4 linked regions of the Oryzias latipes genome follow. The protein of the gene in region 2 interacts with the protein of the main gene of each other region in a biochemical or structural test. Links are inferred from orthologs where the notes say so. Each region holds a gene or a part of one and is shown on either strand. Other genes may lie near its edges. The genes, in order: microphthalmia-associated transcription factor, lef1, transducin-like enhancer protein 1 and nlk.

The links.
Region 1: the proteins of lef1 (region 2) and microphthalmia-associated transcription factor form a complex in vitro, tested with the Homo sapiens proteins (2 studies listed by BioGRID). The link is inferred for Oryzias latipes from reciprocal best matches to the Homo sapiens genes LEF1 and MITF.
Region 3: the proteins of lef1 (region 2) and transducin-like enhancer protein 1 form a complex in vitro, tested with the Homo sapiens proteins (2 studies listed by BioGRID and IntAct, with this or other methods). The link is inferred for Oryzias latipes from reciprocal best matches to the Homo sapiens genes LEF1 and TLE1.
Region 4: of the proteins of lef1 (region 2) and nlk, one has a biochemical effect on the other in vitro, tested with the Homo sapiens proteins (4 studies listed by BioGRID). The link is inferred for Oryzias latipes from reciprocal best matches to the Homo sapiens genes LEF1 and NLK.

The regions. Positions count from the first base shown.
Region 1 is NC_019865.2:20,303,318-20,308,308, forward strand, and holds the start of microphthalmia-associated transcription factor, read right to left. Parts: upstream 3,512-4,991; 5' UTR 3,359-3,511; coding exon 3,255-3,358; intron 1-3,254. UniProt on the Homo sapiens protein: Transcription factor that acts as a master regulator of melanocyte survival and differentiation as well as melanosome biogenesis.
Region 2 is NC_019859.2:16,134,971-16,139,460, forward strand, and holds part of lef1 (lymphoid enhancer-binding factor 1), read right to left. Parts: intron 3,171-4,490; coding exon 3,038-3,170; intron 1-3,037. UniProt on the Homo sapiens protein: Transcription factor that binds DNA in a sequence-specific manner. Participates in the Wnt signaling pathway. Activates transcription of target genes in the presence of CTNNB1 and EP300.
Region 3 is NC_019867.2:10,634,659-10,639,629, reverse strand, and holds the end of transducin-like enhancer protein 1, read right to left. Parts: intron 4,241-4,971; coding exon 3,993-4,240; intron 3,724-3,992; coding exon 3,576-3,723; intron 3,481-3,575; coding exon 3,330-3,480; intron 3,112-3,329; coding exon 3,035-3,111; intron 2,376-3,034; coding exon 2,268-2,375; 3' UTR 1,156-2,267; downstream 1-1,155. UniProt on the Homo sapiens protein: Transcriptional corepressor that binds to a number of transcription factors. Inhibits NF-kappa-B-regulated gene expression. Inhibits the transcriptional activation mediated by FOXA2, and by CTNNB1 and TCF family members in Wnt signaling.
Region 4 is NC_019871.2:30,640,237-30,645,282, forward strand, and holds the start of nlk (serine/threonine-protein kinase NLK), read right to left. Parts: upstream 3,148-5,046; 5' UTR 2,209-3,147; coding exon 1,751-2,208; intron 1-1,750. UniProt on the Homo sapiens protein: Serine/threonine-protein kinase that regulates a number of transcription factors with key roles in cell fate determination. Positive effector of the non-canonical Wnt signaling pathway, acting downstream of WNT5A, MAP3K7/TAK1 and HIPK2.

The sequences.
Region 1 (4,991 bases), on a different chromosome or scaffold from region 2:
TTCAACAGTCGTGTAGCTGAGAGAGAAAGTGTTTAGTCCAATCATAATGATGATGGTGACCATAAGGCCTGCACAATAAAATGACCATTAATTATCATGACGATATCAGCCTGTGCAATACACGCAAAAGACGCCGTAAACTGTGATAAACGGTTACTTTAAATCTTTAGACATGTGCTAAAACAACCTTATGGCCCCTTGAAGTATTTAGCTAATCAAATAGAGCCCTTCAGGTTGTCGACCAATCGAATGATACCTGCCTCACTTGGAGTATGATTTAAGTAATACTGACTTTCATTCAAATAAAACTGTTGCAGTTAAATGTCAATAATTCTTTTGTTGTTTTTTTGTTTGTTTTACGACATTTTTGTTCACGTATCGAAAGTGTTATCATCATCACAATATTGATCACTAATATCGCACAATGCAAGTTTCCTCATATTGTGCAGCCCTAGTGACCAAAGTTTTTCATTTTGCACTCACACTGTCTCTATGCCAATATTTTTCCCCCTTTTTTTTCTCACATTGTATAGATGTCAAAACAAAAACAAAATAAATCTGACAAAAAGATAGACATGCAGGAAGAAATCACATCCCTAGCTGCTTATCTGACAAGAAAAATCAGATGGTGCTGCTAACATGACCCTTTGAATAGTCTAATATCAGATATGACCGGATTTTTTTGTGGGCATGTAAATGGACTCCACAGCACTAGCTGCAATGCATTGTAAAGACCCACTCCAATGAAAATGAAATGTGTTTTTAACGTGTTCTTGTGGCATTTTTCTGATGATGGAAGACATTTATTTAGTAAATTTAGCTTAAAATTGCATTTATGAGGAATGTCTTCATTGAAATTGTTGTGAATCAAGAGCAAACAAACAAAATGCCTTTTGAAAAACAATGTATTTGTGATGAAGAGAATAAGCTTGGTGGGCCACAAGCTCCCTGCTCTGAGGTCTTAGCGATGAAGATGGGGGAAAGGGGCGGGTTTTACTGTCCCAACAGCCTTGCCCACAACTCAGAATTTTTGATGAATGGCCAATCAGAATCGAGTATTCACTCGGACTATGGTATAATCATATTTAAACAAGGGCTTGTTGGGAATGCTTGTAAAATAACTCAAAAGATGATTGGAGGATGAGAATATGCAATCCTGTCACTTTCAAGCCCTACTGTCAGCCTGTTTTAGGCAAACTGGTGGTTGCATTAGCTTGTGGAGAGGAATACGGAATCTTAGAAATCTTAATGCGATTTTATCTCGGTACTATCAGATAAAGGATATCAGACTCTCCTGTTTGCACGGTCACTTGAAAAATCGCATAATTCAAGAAATCCAATATATTAAATGGATGTAAACGGGCTTAACAATGTAAAAGTTTAGCTTCGAGAGTTTGCTTGAGAACGCACATACACACACAAAAAAACCCCACTTATTTCAGATTTAACACTTCTACGGCTAAATTTATACAGCTTATTTACACTGCATATAAGACTAGTTCAGCGTCTGCCTCACATCTAAATATAGGCACTGAAAGTCCAGGACAGCGTCTGCAGCAGCTCGCTCTGTCGGCCTGATTGGGGACAGCAGGGAAGCAAACCTATCCGTGAAACGGAGGTGATACTGTGTCACTGTCAACATTTCTCCTTCCGAAGCAGCTGGGACGAAGCAGCTCTTACCTGACTTTTGGGCAACGCCAAATAATCAATCTTTAGTGTCATAACGGCTCCCAACACAGTCATTGTTATGATAGATCATGCTCATGTGATGGAAAGGGGAAGTGGGACATTTAAAAAAAAAAAAACAATAAAAGCAAAAGGCTTAGAAAAATCCCACATGTTCTCAACTATGTTCTGTCATACTAGCCAACTGTGTTGATATTTCAGGGGTTATATTTACTCTTGCGGCATCTCCGACTTGGTCTATGTACGTGTAACAATGTAATGACATTTCACTAATGACGAAATTGACATTACTTGGAAAAAGAAAAGGAAAAACTGGGCTAAAGGTTATAGTTTCATGAGATTTATGCGATTTTCTCTTAGCTTATGTTTTTGGTCGACTTAAAGAAAGAAATAAAGAGGAGAAAAGCTGCAACTCCACAGCAAAATACGGAGAAACAGAAGGGAGGGAGGGCAACAGGAAAAAAAACTGCTTTGTTTGAGAACAGTGGCGCTCTGTCTTGTGGCTGTCTAGATCTGGCAGCAGCAAGGACAGCCTTGAGGGAATCAAACTCTAAGGTGACGACAGGAGACGGAGAGAATGGGATCGCAGTTTGTTGACGCATGTCATCATTAGCAGCTTTGCAGCTCCTAAGTTGAAGGAAGAGTCTGAGGTGTTTCGTTTTGCTCACATGTCACCCAGAGAGAAGTCATGTTGTTGCATCAAAAGTGAGGATGCCGCTGCTCATCCATCTTTAGCACATATCTGACGAATCCACGAATCCGTCACTCCAAGTCATCATCTTTCCTAAAAATTACACTTTAGGCTTGCCACGAATAGGAAACAATGGTTTGTTCAATCTAATTACACAATTTTATATATCAGATTCATAATTGACTCCTATTCTTAGAGTGTTCCATCCTAACAGCTGATCTAATAAAATAACCTATATTGCATGCTGGCTCTGCAGAAGTTCCTGAAAAAAGGCGGAAAGGCAGATTTGGGCCACTTAAAGCTGACTCAGCAACTTGTACACAGTTCGGATAGTCCCCAAAATTACTCTTGCAACATTAGACATCAGGGTCATCGGGTTGGACAACTATTATGACAACTGGTCACCTTTTACACCCCTCCAGCAGCCTCTGAATGTGCTTTTATTTTGAAGGGGAAATCTCATGAAGCATCGATATTTTACTAAAATAATAATGAAATAAATGGGTTTGACTAACATTGTTTGAGGTCCATTTGGAGTCATTCTTGACAGAAATATAAAAAATAAAGTAGCATCAATTGTGTTAGGAGTCCCTGGCGTGAGCAGCATCTCACTCAACTCTGACCTGTCTGCTCCTCCACGAGCCAATATTTGAAGTTGATGTTGACAAGACAACACCCAAGTGTTGCATAACTTTGAATGAGAGGCAGCCGAATCCCACTCCACAGCTGGGCAACACATCCCCCCCCCCCGCCGGGACAGCCTCGCGCGCGCTCGGCCTCCGCGCGACGCTCAGTAGACAGCTCGGAGGCTAATTATCACCCAAACCTGAAAACCGCTTCAGAGTGGGAAATAACTGTCCACGGGAAATGGACTGACCTGTTTTTCAAAGGTTGACTCTTCAGCTCATAGTACGTTTTAGGCTCGTCCTGAAGGTCCTCGCCGACCTCAAAGTCAGGAACTATTCCGGATTCGGACTGCATACTTGCAGACGTCAACTTTTCCAGAACGTAAAAAAAACCCACAAACAAGTAAAACAAAACAAAACTGCGGGGCGATGTTGGAGCCGCTGCGCTTCTTCGAGGACCAACCAACTGTCAACGCAAGCCGCCTCTGCCCGGGACACGAACCTCTGTAGTCTATTCCAGCTGTGATAACAGCCCCGCTAACGCGCTGTGGCATACGACCTAACTACAAGTCCCACAATGCATCAAAAGGCTGTCAATGTCGCGTTAGCTTTGATTGGCTGCGAGGTGCGACGGGGTTTCAGACGCTTTACCTGCTCACTGAGCAGGTGATTTCTGTCCCATAAACACCTTTAGAGACCCACTCCGATCGAAATCGCGTTTTTTGTGTTTTTAACATGTTTTTCAAGCATTTATCTGATGATGGAGGACATATGTAAAGAAAATTAGGCTTAAAGTGTATCAAGTATTTCTCTATCCAAATAGTTGTGAATCAAAAGAAATAGAAAATACAATAGGCTGGCTATAATTTTCTTTAGACTAAAATATTAATCTTCTTCTTTCTCATTCGGCTTTTCCCATCAGGGGTCGCCACAGCGAATCATCCTTTTCCACCTCACTCTATCATGGACATCTTCTACCCTAACATTAGCCAACTTCATGTCCTCTGTTAAGACATCCATATATCTCCTCTTTGGCCGTCCTCTTGCCCTCCTGCCAGGCAGCTCCATCTCCAACATCCTTCTACCAATATATCCACTATCCCTCCTCTGAATATGTCCAAACCATCTCAGTCTGGCTTCTCTGACTTTGTCGCTAACACAGGCAACATGAGCCGTCTAATTATAAATAATAATAATAATAATAATAATAATTATAAATAATTATAAATATTAATATTCTGCAATAATGTTTACATCGTATGCTAAATATTGATTGAGATATATATCCCAGTGATGCATTATATTGGCTTTTTACAGCCTGTTGAATGTGCCTGTTGAAAATTAAACTGTCAAAGTCTGTTTGACTCTGAAAATGAACTTTTAATTTGTAGAGGTCAGTTGTTACAATTAAGACGTAGAGTGTGTAGAAATAAAAATGACGTGATAAAAAGTATCAACTATTTTGGTCAAGACCTTTTGTTTAAAAAAATCACAGAAAAAAAATTATATATATATATATATATATATATATATATATATATATATATATATATATATATATATATATATATATATATATATATATATATATATATATATATATATATATTATGTCTTTTTTTTAAAGATATATTTTCATTAAAACAATTAATCATCAGTTTATTTATGCAATCACCCAGGCAGAGATTTGAAAACATAATCAACTCTTTTTCCTTTTAAAATCCTTTATTATTAGTAGCAGTAGTATTAGTATTTTGTTATCGTCCCTTGGCCTTTTAAGACAAATACATATCACTTTTTTTTAACTCCAGTTCTTGCCAGCTGTTTTTCAACTGCAGGCTTTGGCTCCTATTTACCACTAAGGGGCAGTAGAGTTTTAAAGTCAAAGTCAACGTCAACCAGCTGAGACAAAAGTGGATTATTTGCATTCTCCTTTTCCTGCTGAACCAGTTTGAGTTTTTTTTTTTTTTTGACATGTCAAATGAAAG
Region 2 (4,490 bases):
TTTTTTTTTACACAATATATGGCTGATGCTGACAAAGATAATCTCAGTTTTTTAAATTTTAGGTGGGGTTTGCATTTTAGTCACAAGACTCCCTTTGCTCAAAGACAGCTGGGATATGCTCCGACAACCTTCTTGATCCATATCATAGCAGAGTAGGTGTTAGTCATAAATAGAATGGGTTTTCATTATGGTTGTGTAGCTTTCCCTCTCACACGATGGATATGCATCTCAATACATAAAAGATTCAATTACCTTTGTGGCAATACATAACAGTGCAACTCTCATACCTATGGTTACAATCTAAATATGTATTATTCATCTGTCATTTAAAATTATACATGAAACAGCTTTAAACGTATAAACTTGGCATTTTTGGGTCTTTTAGATCATTTTGATATTTGCTTGGATCAAATGTACATAAAAAAGCAAAGAAAGCAGAGGACACAACAGGAAGAGAAACTGATAAAGTACCATAATCTTGTTTGTAACTGTATTTTTAACGGATACTGCCGTTACTCTCAGTACTGAATCCATTTTTTTTTCATACGTTTCTGCATCCTTTACATCTCTAGCTGTTTGTCGCTGGTGGTTCACAACTGGTTAATGACACAAGTGCAAACACAAGCTAGCAGCCAATGACAAAGAGGAAAAAAGGACAAGGAAATAGTTTCACGAACAGAAGAAATAAAGCCAAAATGACATCAACAGGACAAACTCATCCTAAAAAACTTGGATGGGAGTGTTTCCTTGGTTTGAAGAAGCATAGTCCTCTACAGTTGTAAGATTTGTGATTGTTCAAAAAGACCAACTCTGACCTCAATATTTAACAAGGAGAAAAGGAGAATCATTTGTTCTTTGAGCTATGTTCCTGTTAGTGTGTTTCAGCATCTTTAAGCTGCATAATTGCAGCTTCTTCTTAACGGTGGAGGCAGCCGTGCTCCCTGTAGGCACGGGATCGGCTCAGACTGACTGTTTGGACTAACCTCTCCTTTCTCCACCTCCTTCTGGGCTTCAAGGTCAGGAGGTCTATTTTCCAAACAGAAGGCAGTGAAAACGGAGCTGCAGGATGACAAAAATCTGTCTGACTTGAAAATCCCTTCTTCTCCTAAATCAATTTGTTTCCTGGTCTTTCCCGGCAGGTCAAGCAGACATCAGGAAATGCTGTTCATGCACAGACAAGTGGAATGCAGCTCCTCGCAACCCAAAAACACACCAAAAAAAGGAAAGGGCACATGCGTCCAGATTAGCACCATCTTCCAAACCCCGCTGGAGCCCGCCTTTCCTCCCCTGCTTCTCTCATCTCTGGTCCTCCTCCTTCTCTCCCCAGGCTGGGATCTGAAGGGGCATCCCTCCTTGGAGAGGCAGCTTGAGAGGGAGGCTTATATCCCCAAAGCCAATGTTGCGACGCTGGATTCATGGCGCGGATAGTCCTGCTTCCTCCTCACTAATCCACCGCCTAACACTCCTTTAGGGCCCTCCCAAAGGGAGAAAGGAAGGAGGCGAGAGGTGAAGCAGCAGGGGAGGAAGAGAGAGCCCCAGCGTGTTAACCTTGTCACTCACACCTCTATGATGCCTAATTACACCCGCTCGCTCCTCATTTTACACATTCCCGTTGGCGTCCAACGAAGCCAAAACAAGACACACACTAGCTGGATACAGCTGGCGCTCATATTTAAACTCTGAATGTTAGATTTGCCTTTATACACGCAGAAATTAGCAACAATTCTCCTCCACCCCCTCCCTCGGTGCGACCTTCCAGCCCACATAGAGGCCCTCTGCATTTTAGAGCCCATAATGAGAAAATCCATGATTGTTTTTCATAATTAACGAGCGGATCAAAGTCAGAGCCCGCTAAAGGAAGCAGAGCAGCAATTGGTCGATATGAGAGAAAGAACTAGAGGGACAGCAAACGAGGAGAATGAGGGGAGATTTGGTTTTCAGCGTGTTCGGCCCAGCTCTACCCATACATGAATATGCCTAGGGAAATCATTTGCAGCTAATTTTGCAACTGGATTGCTTGGACATGGATTTCTGTTAGGCTCTGAATGCCAAGATCAAATGCTAAGGAAAAGGCCCCCCAGGTGCTTCTTTCCACTCTTCGCTGTCAGAAACAGGGCGAATAGGAAAATGAAAAGAAACTGCCGCTGAATTCTACGTGACAAGAACTCCTCAAACCCAGCGAGTGCACCTCTTGCTTTGTTACCTGTTTGTTCTTTTTTACTATGTAGTTGGAAGGTAAAAATATCCCAGCACGTGTGTCAGATGTATGACATATGTGGAGCTTAAATCTCACAGGGCTGCATCCCTTGTGCTTACATCCTTATTTATAGTTGGTCCCTCAGAACTCCTCGTCTTCATCGCCTACATCATCCCCCTCCTTTTCAACTGGCAGCCACAGAAGAAGAAAGCAAAGAAAAGCGAAAACGGTGCAGGACAAAACTATGTTTGGCCCGCGTCTCTGTGGCATCAAGCGAAGGAGCTGCCAAAGTTTCCAGCTGCGCGGGGCTGAAGAGCCCGTCCAAACAGCAGAGGAGCTTCTCCGCAGCTGTCAGAGCTACAGCTTGAAGTTGTTCCCAAGAGGCAAAGAGTGCAGAGGGAGAGGGCATCAGAGCTCAGCGTGCCATCCCACAGGCTGCTTCAAATGAATTCTCACTCAGAGATGTTAGGAGGATGACTTTGTTTTGACATATTTTTAGCAGGAGCATCTCTGATTCTTGACAGAGTTGACAGTTGTAGTTAAATAAAAAAACACACACACCAGGTATCAGCTCAGTCACATGTAGATCTAGTTTGACAAAATCCTGCATCTCGTGCTTTATTTCAGACACAGAAAACTTCAGGGCAGTGAGATAAACAGGTTTTTCTTTTGGGTAAAAGCCCTTTGGGGGCCACATGACAGCACTTACACCTAAATATAGTGAGACGATGCTCAGAAAAAGTTGCATTGATCTGTAAATAGCTCTGCCACAACATGAGCGGCTTTCAAACGAACGCCATGGACATGCCGCTCACTGTGCAACACGCCTGCTTCTCCTACCTTGTTTGTTGTTGGCATCTTGTGGGTGGAGGCCCGAATGAGAGCCTGGGGCGAAGTGCTCGTCGCTGTACGTGATCAGCGGGGTCAGTGGGTGGACTGCATGGGACGGCTGCACCACGGGGACTTTGTTGGACTGCGGAGACAAGTGCAACTGGATTTAGGAACGGTGTGTAACTCCAATATAATGCATGGTAGAGAACAGGTGAACTATTTCCATCTGGCTTTAAGACTTTGCTCAAGAAGACACTTTAAAAAATGTTGTTGTTTTTTTCTCTGTGCGCCCAGCAGTTCAGAACTTTGTTTAGCCTAGGTCAGCAGGACTACAAAATTCCACTCCCTGAAGACAAGAGGGAAAACAAGCCAAAGAGGGAGCGTGTGCAAGTTCTGATAGAAACAGAAAGAAAGATGCACACAGAAGGGAAGCAAGCGAGCAGTGGAGCAAAGAGTGGAGGGGGGGGGGGAGATGAGAGACTTGCAAGGTAGTGTTAGAGCAGAGGTCTGAGGCGGGAGATCAAAGGCAGTCATTAGCCGGTGAATAAGGGGAGTTCATTACAGAGCAAGAGCTGGGGGAAGAAGAGATGAGGGATGGAGGAGGAGGAGGAGGAAGGGACGGGGGGTTGACTATAGAGTAGGGGTGCAATGGATAACACGACTCACGGTTCGGATCGTGTCACGGTTTTAGCGTCAGGATTCGGATAATTTTTCGGATCAGTTAAATGGGAAAAAAAAACACGGGAAAAATGATGAGCGAGGTGCGTACGAGGAGGAGGGTGGGGGTGAACCATGGCTAGTGTATCACTGATAATCCGGGATCTGTTGCACCCCCACTATGGAGAGAATGCGTGAGTAAGACAGATGTCTGCAGTGGTGCCTAATGTAGGGGTAATCACGTCAACAGTGGCTCCTCATCCTGCGATGACTCAGAGGGAACTTGCAGTACCTCCTGACAATTAAAACCGACCCAAACAGGCACAGCAGAACCTCAGCCAACAGCTCTCGCACGCTTAATCTGGACGAAACACATGGGAGTGTTTAGTACGACTAAATCTGCTTTAAAAATTTGAACCCTGAGGCAAGCTGGAGTCCAAATATCACCTTAAAGACCCACTAAGATGAAGGTTGTATTTTTGGTGTTTTTAGCATGTTATTGTCTCATTTTTCTGATGTTTAAAGAAAAATAAGCTTAAAATTGCATTTCTGAACATTTCCTCTATTCAAATCGTAGTGAATCAGGAGCAGATGAAAAAAGATACTCTTTATAAAAGCTTGTAATTGTTGCGTACAAACTCCAATCGTCAGGCCACATGGTCCCTGCTCTGCTCCATTCCCATGCATCCACTTGCAGACGACTAGATCCGTGAACGTCTTCATTCTCCTCCACTGATTAGCTGCAATATTGCTCTGCATTTTTGTTGCACCGGTAATGTTAGGTTGTTAGGTTGTTGCAGTTGCT
Region 3 (4,971 bases), on a different chromosome or scaffold from region 2:
GATGTCTGTGTTTCTTTATATGGTCAGTGGTGATTCAATGGAGGTGAATCAGGAGCAGACAACAAAGTGCTGTTTGAAAAACTTTGTTGCGAGCAGCTAGCTCCCTGCCCCTCTCCACTTGCAGACAAATAGATCCACATAGTGGTACATCTTAATTTTCATTGTCTGAACTGGCTTAAATCTGTAAGGCTGGATAGCCTCAATTTTGCTTTCCTCTTCTTTTTTTTTTTTTTTTTTTTTGCACCGGTAATGTTAGGTTGGGGTTTTGAGGGGCTATAAGATAGCAGTAGAGAACATGACAACAAAGAAATGAAGCTGACAAACTATTTGTGGTAAAAAGTAGCTGAAACAAAAACGAAAAAAAACAAGAGAACTTGAATTTGACCATCAGCAACATGATGTCCTCATTTCAAAATAAAAGTCCTAACACTAGAGCGCAAAATGTTTGGTCAAAGACTGGTCAAATAAAAAGAAAAATATTGTGTAAAAAATTTTTTAGTTTTTTTTAACTCATTAGCTTGAATCTGTGAATTAAAAACCCTAGGGGACTTATTTTCGCCAACTTCATTGCTCAGCTTTTTCCATGCAGAGCTATCAGAGTTGGATTATCTCGCTTGCTAAACTGGCTAGCCTTTCCCTAATTCTACTTGTGTGGAATAGATAGAAATTCACATCCTGAACGAATTTAGGGCTCGAGAGTTGAAGCTTTTTTACCCTCTGACTTGTGCCCTTTGTAGAATCGCTTGCAGTTTATGGTAGATGGCGTATACTTGTATAGCGCTTGTTTTTACCTTCCTCGAAGGCCCAAGGCGCTTCAGTCTCAAACCCATTCACATACTGGTAAGCACTGGCGCCAACCTTCCACCAGAGGCAAGGTGGGGATCAGCGTCTTGCCCAATGACACTTCAATGCATGGACGGGTGAGGCAGGAATCGAACCACCACTGCTGCACCACGGAGGCTATAAAAACCACTTTGATTTTTCCTGATTACATGTAAAAGACATACAAAAACTGTTTATTTCTAAATCATGTCTTGTAAGAAAACAAAATGTACAATTTTATATACAGACCAAAAAGGACAGAAAAACATGACAGAACATTACCTGCACAACTTTAAAATACTTTTAAAACAGTTTTATCTTGATCTTATAATATTCTTTATGTCTCTGTTCAAATGTGCTAAAGGAGGTTTTAGTTTTATTTTCCAATAGCCGAGCACTAATGAACTGCTAAAAGATTTGTAATTGGATCTTGTTAAGGAAGTGGAAATAACCATTTACACAATAAGACATCGAGTGTTGGACTGATGAAGGCAGGGAGATGATGAGGTTAAGACCTGTTGATTTGATGTGAAGGCTGTGTCATATAAAGAAAAAAAAAAATCACAGTATAAAAGCTACCAATGACCCATTCTTATGCTGACCATCCATCAGAGCCTGAAATCACCAGTGACATCTCAAAAACTCAACTTCATTAGAAGAAAATAACTTTTTCTAAACTGAATGCAACTAAGCACTGTTTTGACATTTGTGTGCATTGAAAAGACAAAAAAAACTTTCCAATTATTTGTACTTCAAAATACTTTTTCAAAGTCTGAAGTTGAAACAAAGAGCGTGTCTCAACTCAGAGGTTTTATAAAAGAATACCGTTAAACAACCAATCTCCCCTTTCTGTGCCTCCACCATCACATTTGGGAATTTTCAGAATTTTAGGCTTGTTTCTTCGTTTTCACCCCTTTAGAGAAGTTAGTATAAAAAAAAAAATTATGAAAAGACAGGAAAAAGTTGTAGGTCCCTGCTTGACTATTTCTGGAAGCGAATGTGAAGCTTTATATTTTCTGCATTCGTTCTTCACCCCTTATATTTTTTTTTTTTTTTATATAAAGTCTTGCTCATGTTTACAGATTGGCCACTTTGACGCTGGCTGAGAAACCAAATATTGGCTCGAGTTCATTCAAAGATCTGTATCCAGTCGCCTTTTTGTCACTAAACCCCCAACTGGTCGAGAAGCAGATGATCCAGAATCCACAGTTTTTCTTTGTCCGCTCCAATAATTTCCCTCAGATGTGGAGTCACGTTCACAGGCACAATAAATATCTGCAGGTTAAATTTAGCCTCCTTTCAGCGTCTCTGCAGCAGGCGTAAGAAAACAATAAATAAATGTCCTGGTAAAGTTCCTTTCTTCTTGTGATTTCTCGCTCCACGAGAAGAGTTCCATGGAAACATTTGTAGTAAATGGAAAGCATTGCTGCTTTTTTCCAAGGGTTTCAGTAGATGACTTCATAAACAGTGGCCTTCTTATCACCTGACCCAGTGACGATGTATTTGTCATCCACAGATATGTCACAGCTCAACACTGAAGAGGATTCTTTAGACTGAGAAAAGAAACAAGAAAAGAGAGAATCCCATTATTACCAAACACAAAAGTTTTTAATTACATCCGAAATAAAAAGTATTTGTCGTTATGTAAAGTGATATTTACATATCAACACTATGTACTTTGTAAAAAGTATTATTCATATAAATGATGACGTTTCTTAAGAAATAAAAAAGCTAAACAGGATTAACCTTTAAGTGATGCTTATGCACCGGAATCAAACTAAATGAGCTACTTTTAAACCAACAAATGCACAGGAGTCAAAGACATTATTCAGAAAACTCTTATTTTTATGAACCAATGCTTGAAAGAAACTGCATTTGTGAAAATGCAGAAAAATTAGGGGTTTAAATTGAGTTTAAATTAATCAATTGATTAAAAACAAGCAATATTGATTCAGTTAATTAATTCATCTATGTTTTTTTCTTCTTCCATCTTTTATTTAGTGTTTAAAGATAAGAATTTATTTTTATTTTTAGAAAATGTTGTCTTTGTTTAGTTTTAATCAGTTGTGTAAAAACTATTTTTCTTTGTCAAATAAATTGGTAAAATAAATTGTGAAATGATTAAATTAATTGCATTAATGCTCAACCCTGGTTTCATTTGTTAAATAATTTAAAAGACATTTGATTGAATGAACAAATCCGTTTTCCCAACCTGGAATATGCTGGCTCCATAGGGTGTTCTCCATGCGTTCAATAAGTTGTCCTTTCCGGTGCTCACAAACCATTTGCCTAGTGAAACACAAACACACAACAGGAGAAAAAGAAAAGAGAAAATGACATTTTCATCAGGAAAAAAACTTTACAGTACCGGTAAATAAAAATGTTTTGTATCGTGAGGAAAAATTCAATCACTACAGTTTCTTTATCCAGACATAAAATTTTAGGATACGTTTGTTTTGAAGAAGTCTAAATTGTTTGCACAAACAGTGAGACACTGGGCTGCTTACCACAGTATGCAAACTGTAGAGAAAGAACACAGCTCTCATGTAGGTGAAGCTGATATTTATCAGGCTTGGTGACATGAAGGACCTCCACATTGCTGCTCTCCATCCCAACAGCAAGCCATTCTCCTGTGGGACAGTAGCCCAGAGAAAAGATCTGGACAAAGGAGAGGAATTAGGATTAAAGTTTTGATTCGTAATTTACGCCCTGACTTTTAACACAGAACAAATGGGGGGAAAAAACTCAAATACCTGTGAGGTGAAGTCGTGCTGCTGCAGCTGCCGTCCCTCCCTCAGGTCCCAGGAGCGGACAGTGTTATCCAGGCCTCCTGTCCACAATTTGGTGCCATCGTTGGAGATGTCAATACAGCTGGCCCCATCGGTGTGGCCCTGGAATTGCCTGAGGGACACACATGCAAGTTCCATTTAGAAAGCATTGTTTGAATACATAGATAAATGGCTTCAGCTTTAGCTTAATCAAGTTCAGGCCGAAGCAAATGTGAGTCATATTTAAAGCTATCGATACAACAATGAGTAGCATCTGTTTTGAAAAGAAAATAAACCGAGTGGTTGTAGATAACCTCTACATAACTATCCATACCAGGCATAAGTTACAAATGACATTAACACTAAAAAACAGAAGCTCTGGGCAATAAAATCTATTTTTACCTGACAAGGGTCTGATTGTGTAGATCCCAGACTGCGATGTTTCCATCGCTGCAGCAGGAGAAGCAGACCTTTGAGTCTGGACTGATGGCCAGAGCGTAGCAGGCTGGTGCCGATGACGTCAACTCTGCTTTAATTCTAGGAGTGGGTGTGGCCAAATCCCAGATTGACAACGTGCTGGCCTCACCACCTACGATAAGCGTTCGACCATCGGGGAGGAGACGACACGAGCGGATGTAGTTATCCCGGTTCTGAAGAAAAAAAGGCATAGTTTATGAATACGTTTGTTTAAAATATTTTGTCTGTATCCATGCAACATAGTACAACAACAGCTATTAAAAATTAATTGAGTAAGAACTATAGAATGAAATACTCTTTAAAAAATGCTTAATGTGGCCATCATTTTGATTTGTAGCTTTTCCAGTGGCAAAAAGAGAAAAAAAAACAACAGTTATGAAGATAAAGAACCGTCAAAAGAAACAAAAGGCAGACTGTCTTCATCACTGTGAGGTTGTTTACCAACTATGCAAAAGAAATGCAAAGTCAAATTCACGTTGAGCTTGGAATCAACTGAAATGGTAATTTCTTACTTTATTAATACACATCTGTACATTGCAATGTGTTCAAGACAGAGAGATGCTTGTTTCCAGCATTTTCATCCTAATGAGAAGTGTTAGGCTAAAGGCAAAGTCCATGCCAACTCCTAATTAGTCTGAATGTTGTCCCTTGTCCTACACAACAGCATGAAAGAATTTAAGGAGTTCAGTTCTCCCAAATTCTACGTTCACACCGGGAATGTAATGTGCATTCTTGAACATGCATTTAGCAGGGATGGGCTGCTTATTCTTGTTCTTTTCCTACCGTTTACTAGCACAAGTCTTCAAACTATCATTGGAAGAGGTTAGGTGTGAAATGTCAAAGTGGAAATCTCACAGACTTTTTCTTTCACAGCTTTATTCCGATATATGAAAGACTTGGTGTC
Region 4 (5,046 bases), on a different chromosome or scaffold from region 2:
ACATGCTTCTATTTTACCATGAAGCGCTGTATGATAGTTTCTGCTTGTCACACTTCCTGTCATTTCAGTCAGACACAGACGAGTTTTGGGGATTATAGAATATGTCTAAATATAAACTAACCAATCAAACAAGGAAACTTTAAATGATCCCAGAAGTATTTTTCTCCTATGTTCTGATGGTTTGTTGTTAAATAAAGTTAAAGTTAAAAGCTAATCCTCGATGTTTTGTAGAATTACCAAAGCCATCTCTACCATCATAGTGTCACGTCATGCAACTAAATCAGGATGACGAGAAACAAATGGGCTCAACACCGTCATTGTTGACGACAGCTTCTCTTCCTGTGCAGGGCCATGGGGGCGCTGGAGCCAATCCCAGCTGTTACAGGGTGACAGCAGGGCCCATACTGTACAGGTCCCCACTTCAGAACAGGGATCTGTGTATGCATTAACCAGCAATGTCAAACCTGTATACAAGTCTTTGTTGGGTGGATGGTTTGGGAACTATAGATTTGTTCTATTGTTCCTTCGAATCTCAAAATCTGCCATATTTAGATATGTGCATTTATGGAAATGTTCAACATGTTTGTTTCCATGTTGTGTTTTTAACCCTTTAACACAGGAACTTTATCTTACCGTAGACGTTCCTTCGATTACTCTTCAACCATTTACACAAAGTCCTTCCAGGGATTCTTCAGCAGAGAAAAGCCGCCACGGGCTGATTTGCAATACATTTTAGCAGTGAAGTGCTTTCACAAAACAACATCAGTCAGCTCATTACATTTCCAAGAAAAGTGACTTTGCACCTTTGAGCAACAATATGCTTTCAGTAAGTGTTGCATAGCAGCACAAAACCGATACGAGAAGCTGCTTGTCTCCGTATCAGCGTCAGATGATTCACATTGATTGAGAAAATGGTCCAACAGTTGCGGGACGCCAAAAAGCGTGGTTTACTTCGGTGTCAACGGCGACATCTCCAGAGTTAAAGGGTTAACTCAATGGTCATTTATGAAACTATGTGAGCAGTCTGAGTCCACAACAATGAAGTTTTGTCTGTAAACGGTGTAGGACTCAAAGTTGCAGGCTTAAACATCTAAATATATATTACTTTTGTTTACAGATGACACATTATCATTCCACTACCTCCGTGCCTCGCTGAAAGTATGCCGATTCTGGCTACAGGAGGCAAATGGGGGAAGACCCGCTTGTTTTGCTTTCCTGTAAAGTCTGTTTTTCCTTTGTTGTTGTACCCTCCACCAGTTACCCACCGCTACACGCACACACGCATGCACACACACACACACACGCACGCATGCATACGCTCCATGTAAACACAGAGCTAAAAAACGTTCTGTTTCCAGAAACAGAGGAATGGTCAGGGTACCCCTCAGAGAACCCGGGTTGGTTTTGTGCCATGGCTTTATCCTCTTCCTGCTGTCAGTGCTCCCCACCATTACCTCCCTCTTTTTTCCCTCTCACTTCTACCTTTTAGTTCATCTCTCAATATTTGATGAAAACTTTCTGGCTCCAGCCTCAGACTAAGTCAATGTGCTAGCTAGCACCTGATGGATTTTCAGAAAGGTAGCATTTGTTTGTTTATTCTATCAGAGGTCCAAAGTGCCTGACACCTCATCAGAACAACTTGGTGAGTCCAGAGCATGAACCAAAACCAAAAGCCAAAACCAGCAGGAACTCAGGTCCAACACCCGTTTCAAGAACCTGGGGGAGTGATGACAGGCCTGTGGACACTTACCAGACAACCCCAAATGCTCCATAGCCAATGGGCCGGTCCGGTTCAATGTCCAGCTGCTGTTGGAGGTGATGAGAGTTCTGCTGGTGCTGGTGGTGGGCTTTGACACCAGCAGCAGCCTGAACCTGGGCAGGAGCGGCGGCGGCTGCCGGCCCAGGGGCTTGTCCGGGGGCGGGAGAGGGGAAGTACGGCTGCTGCTGGCCGGGGTTGAGCATCACCGCCGCCGCCGCCGCTGCGGTCGTGTGCTGCTGGACCGTGTGCACGGCCGCAGCGGAGCCTGGGTGCTGCAGGTGGTGCTGGCCCGCGTGGTGGTGGTGGTGGTGGTGGTGGTGCATGTGGGGCGGCGGGAGGTGCTGGAGCTGCTGGTGGTGGTGATGGGCAGCAGCCACTGCCGAGGAGCCGCCGGGGTAAGCTGCCATCATTTTTGGAGCATTGGCGGCGGTGGTGCCACACAGAGCCATCCACCTCCTGAGGAGACGAGGAAGGTCAGCAGACACTCAGCCAGAACAGAACCAGAACCGCTGAGGATCCAACATGAGACGACCCGCTTCAATGACAGAGGAGGGGAAGTCTGTGGAGCATCGTGTCAACGACCCACTTCCACGCTCTAGAGTTCTCAGGGATTCAGAGTAACAGAACCCGAACCCCGGTCCAGGAAGACAGCTGGCGGCCCGTGACGGCCCTCATGAGGCGGCCTCGTCCTGACAGCAGCGGCCTTGGTTACATCACATGCCGCGCAGCCGCAGCTTCATCTCCCGCATCGCGGTCCAGCGTCCACGCGCTCTGGATCAGCACCGGAAGTCCTCCCACCGAGCAGCTCTGGCGGTTCAGAAATGTTCGGCGCTGTTCCGAACGGACTTTTCTGCTCTGAGCGCGCAGGAAGCTACTTCGCGGTCGGAGGTGAACTCCGAGCTGGGGGTCCGGTGCAGAGAGGGTGTCTCCCGGCCCGGGAGCACGCCGCCCCCATCCGTTCCACTCAGTCACACGGAGCGGCGCAGGTCCACGGAGGTTCGGAGCGGGGACGGGGCCGCGAGCATGACTGGGGTTGGCAAAGCCTTGAAGTCGGTTTCTCAAGTTCGGTCCGTCCGCCCGCTTCGGGTCGGTGGCCCACAGGTGCTCATGCAGCGGGACACGTGACCCGAGCAGTTCGGTGCGTGTGAACGCGGGATGACCCAGCTCCGCGCCGCGCGCCGCTCAGCCTGACAGCCCGGAGCTAGCAGCAGCTCGAGCCGCGCGCCGCATCACGAACCCAGCTCGAGGGGGAACCGCCGCTGTCGCACCGACACGGACCCGAAACTCCACAGCCGAACCTCCGCGGTCCGGACCGGTGGAGCTGCTTTCTGCTGATCGATTACCAGGAATCCAGAGGCAGCGCTCGATCCAACATGGTGAACACAATCTGCGCTAATCGGCGGTGAGATGAGACCCAGCGAGCAGCCAATCACAGGCCGCGCGGCAGTGACGCAGACGAAATCTCCCCGATTGACAGGCAGCTCAGCCAATGGCGGCCCTCCAGCTGGGGTGACAGCAAGGCTGAGCGGCGCTGGGGGCGCCCGCTGATGCCCCCCTTCCCCCCGCTTGAATATTTATCTTTGTGCTGATGGAGACAGTTTCCTGCAGGCCGGTGGATCATCATCACCCCGCCTCCTGTTGGTCCGGGACAAACCCGTCCAGAGACGGGACCACTGAGTGAACCTCTCCTGGACAAACCTGTCCAGAACCCAAGGCTTTTCACTGAAAAGTTGACCTGAACAGAAGTTCCAGTCAGGTTCTAATGGATTCTCTTTCTACTCTAAGCTTTTAAAGGAAGTGATCACATTAATTTGACAGGTTTTAATCCAAAACAGTCCGGTATGCTACACCCATACAGGAGGCTGTTTTCAGTCAAACCAAATGAACATGACACCATCCACCTACCAGACAGAAATCACTGTTCTGTATGTCAATACAATAGAACAAGTCAGTGTTTGATTCAGAAAGGTTGACTGGCTGCCCACTCTTTGAAACCAAAGCAAAGGTTATGGTTAAATAATTTGGAGTTTCTGAAAAAAACATCCTTATAGGTGATCCTAAGTTCTGTGTATTTTCATTGTTGTATTCATTGTTGTTTAACAGCTTCACATTTACACAATAAATGTCGCACATTAGAAATCTTTAACTGTCCACACTAGACAGAACGATGTGATAGTTGGGGATCGTGAAGGTGGATAGAACATGCGCTACTTATGACCAAGAGACCAGAAGGAACACAGACGCGATGCACTGAAGGCTTCTTGATCAAATAATCTTCATTGAACTCTTTTATAACCTATTAAATGCCCATAAAAAACAGAGCTGTGAAAAATCTGACATTAATACTTTACAGATATTTGGTGTAGAAAGTAAATCTAGCCACAGGGGTTGCAAGCCAGTTGCCTCTGTGCCGGTCCCAAGCCCGGATAAATAGAGAGGGTTGCGTCAGGAAGGGCATCCGGCGTAAAAATTGCCAAAATAACCATGCGAATCATCCACAACACTTTAGACATACCGGATCGGTCGAGGCCCGGGTTAACAACGACCGCCACCGATGCTGTTAACCTACAGGGTGTCGGTGGAAATTTGACTACTGTTGGTGGAAGAAAGAGGGGAGGCAGAAGGGCCCGTGGCCAGAGAGAGAAGGGAAAAGGCAGGAACATAGGTTTGAGAATAGGGACTCTTAACGTTGGCACAATGACAGGGAAAGGCAGAGAGCTGGCAGACATGATGGAGAGAAGGAAGGTAGATGTACTGTGTGTGCAGGAGACAAGGTGGAAGGGCAGCAAGGCACGTAGTATTGGAGGAGGATACAAACTGTTCTATCATGGTGTTGATAGGAAGAGAAACGGGGTAGGAGTGATTCTGAAGGGGGAGTTTGTAAACAGTGTTCTAGAGGTGAAAAGAGTCTCAGACAGGATGATGAGCCTAAAGTTAGAAATCGAAGGGGTGATGGTGAATGTAGTCAGTGGGTATGCGCCACAGGTTGGCTGTGAGCTAGAAGTGAAGGAGAGATTCTGGAGTGAGTTGGATGAGGTCATACAGAGTTTCCCCAGAGGAGAGAGAGTTGTTATTGGAGCAGACTTTAATGGGCATGTTGGTGAGGGCAATAGAGGTGATGAGGAGGTGATGGGCAGGTTTGGTGTGAAGGAAAGGAATCTGGAGGGACAGATGGTGGTGGACTTTGCAAAGAGGATGGAAATGGCTGTAGTCAACACTTACTTCCAGAAGAGAGAGGAACATAGAGTGACATACAGAAGTGGAGGTAGGAGTACCCAGGTGGACTA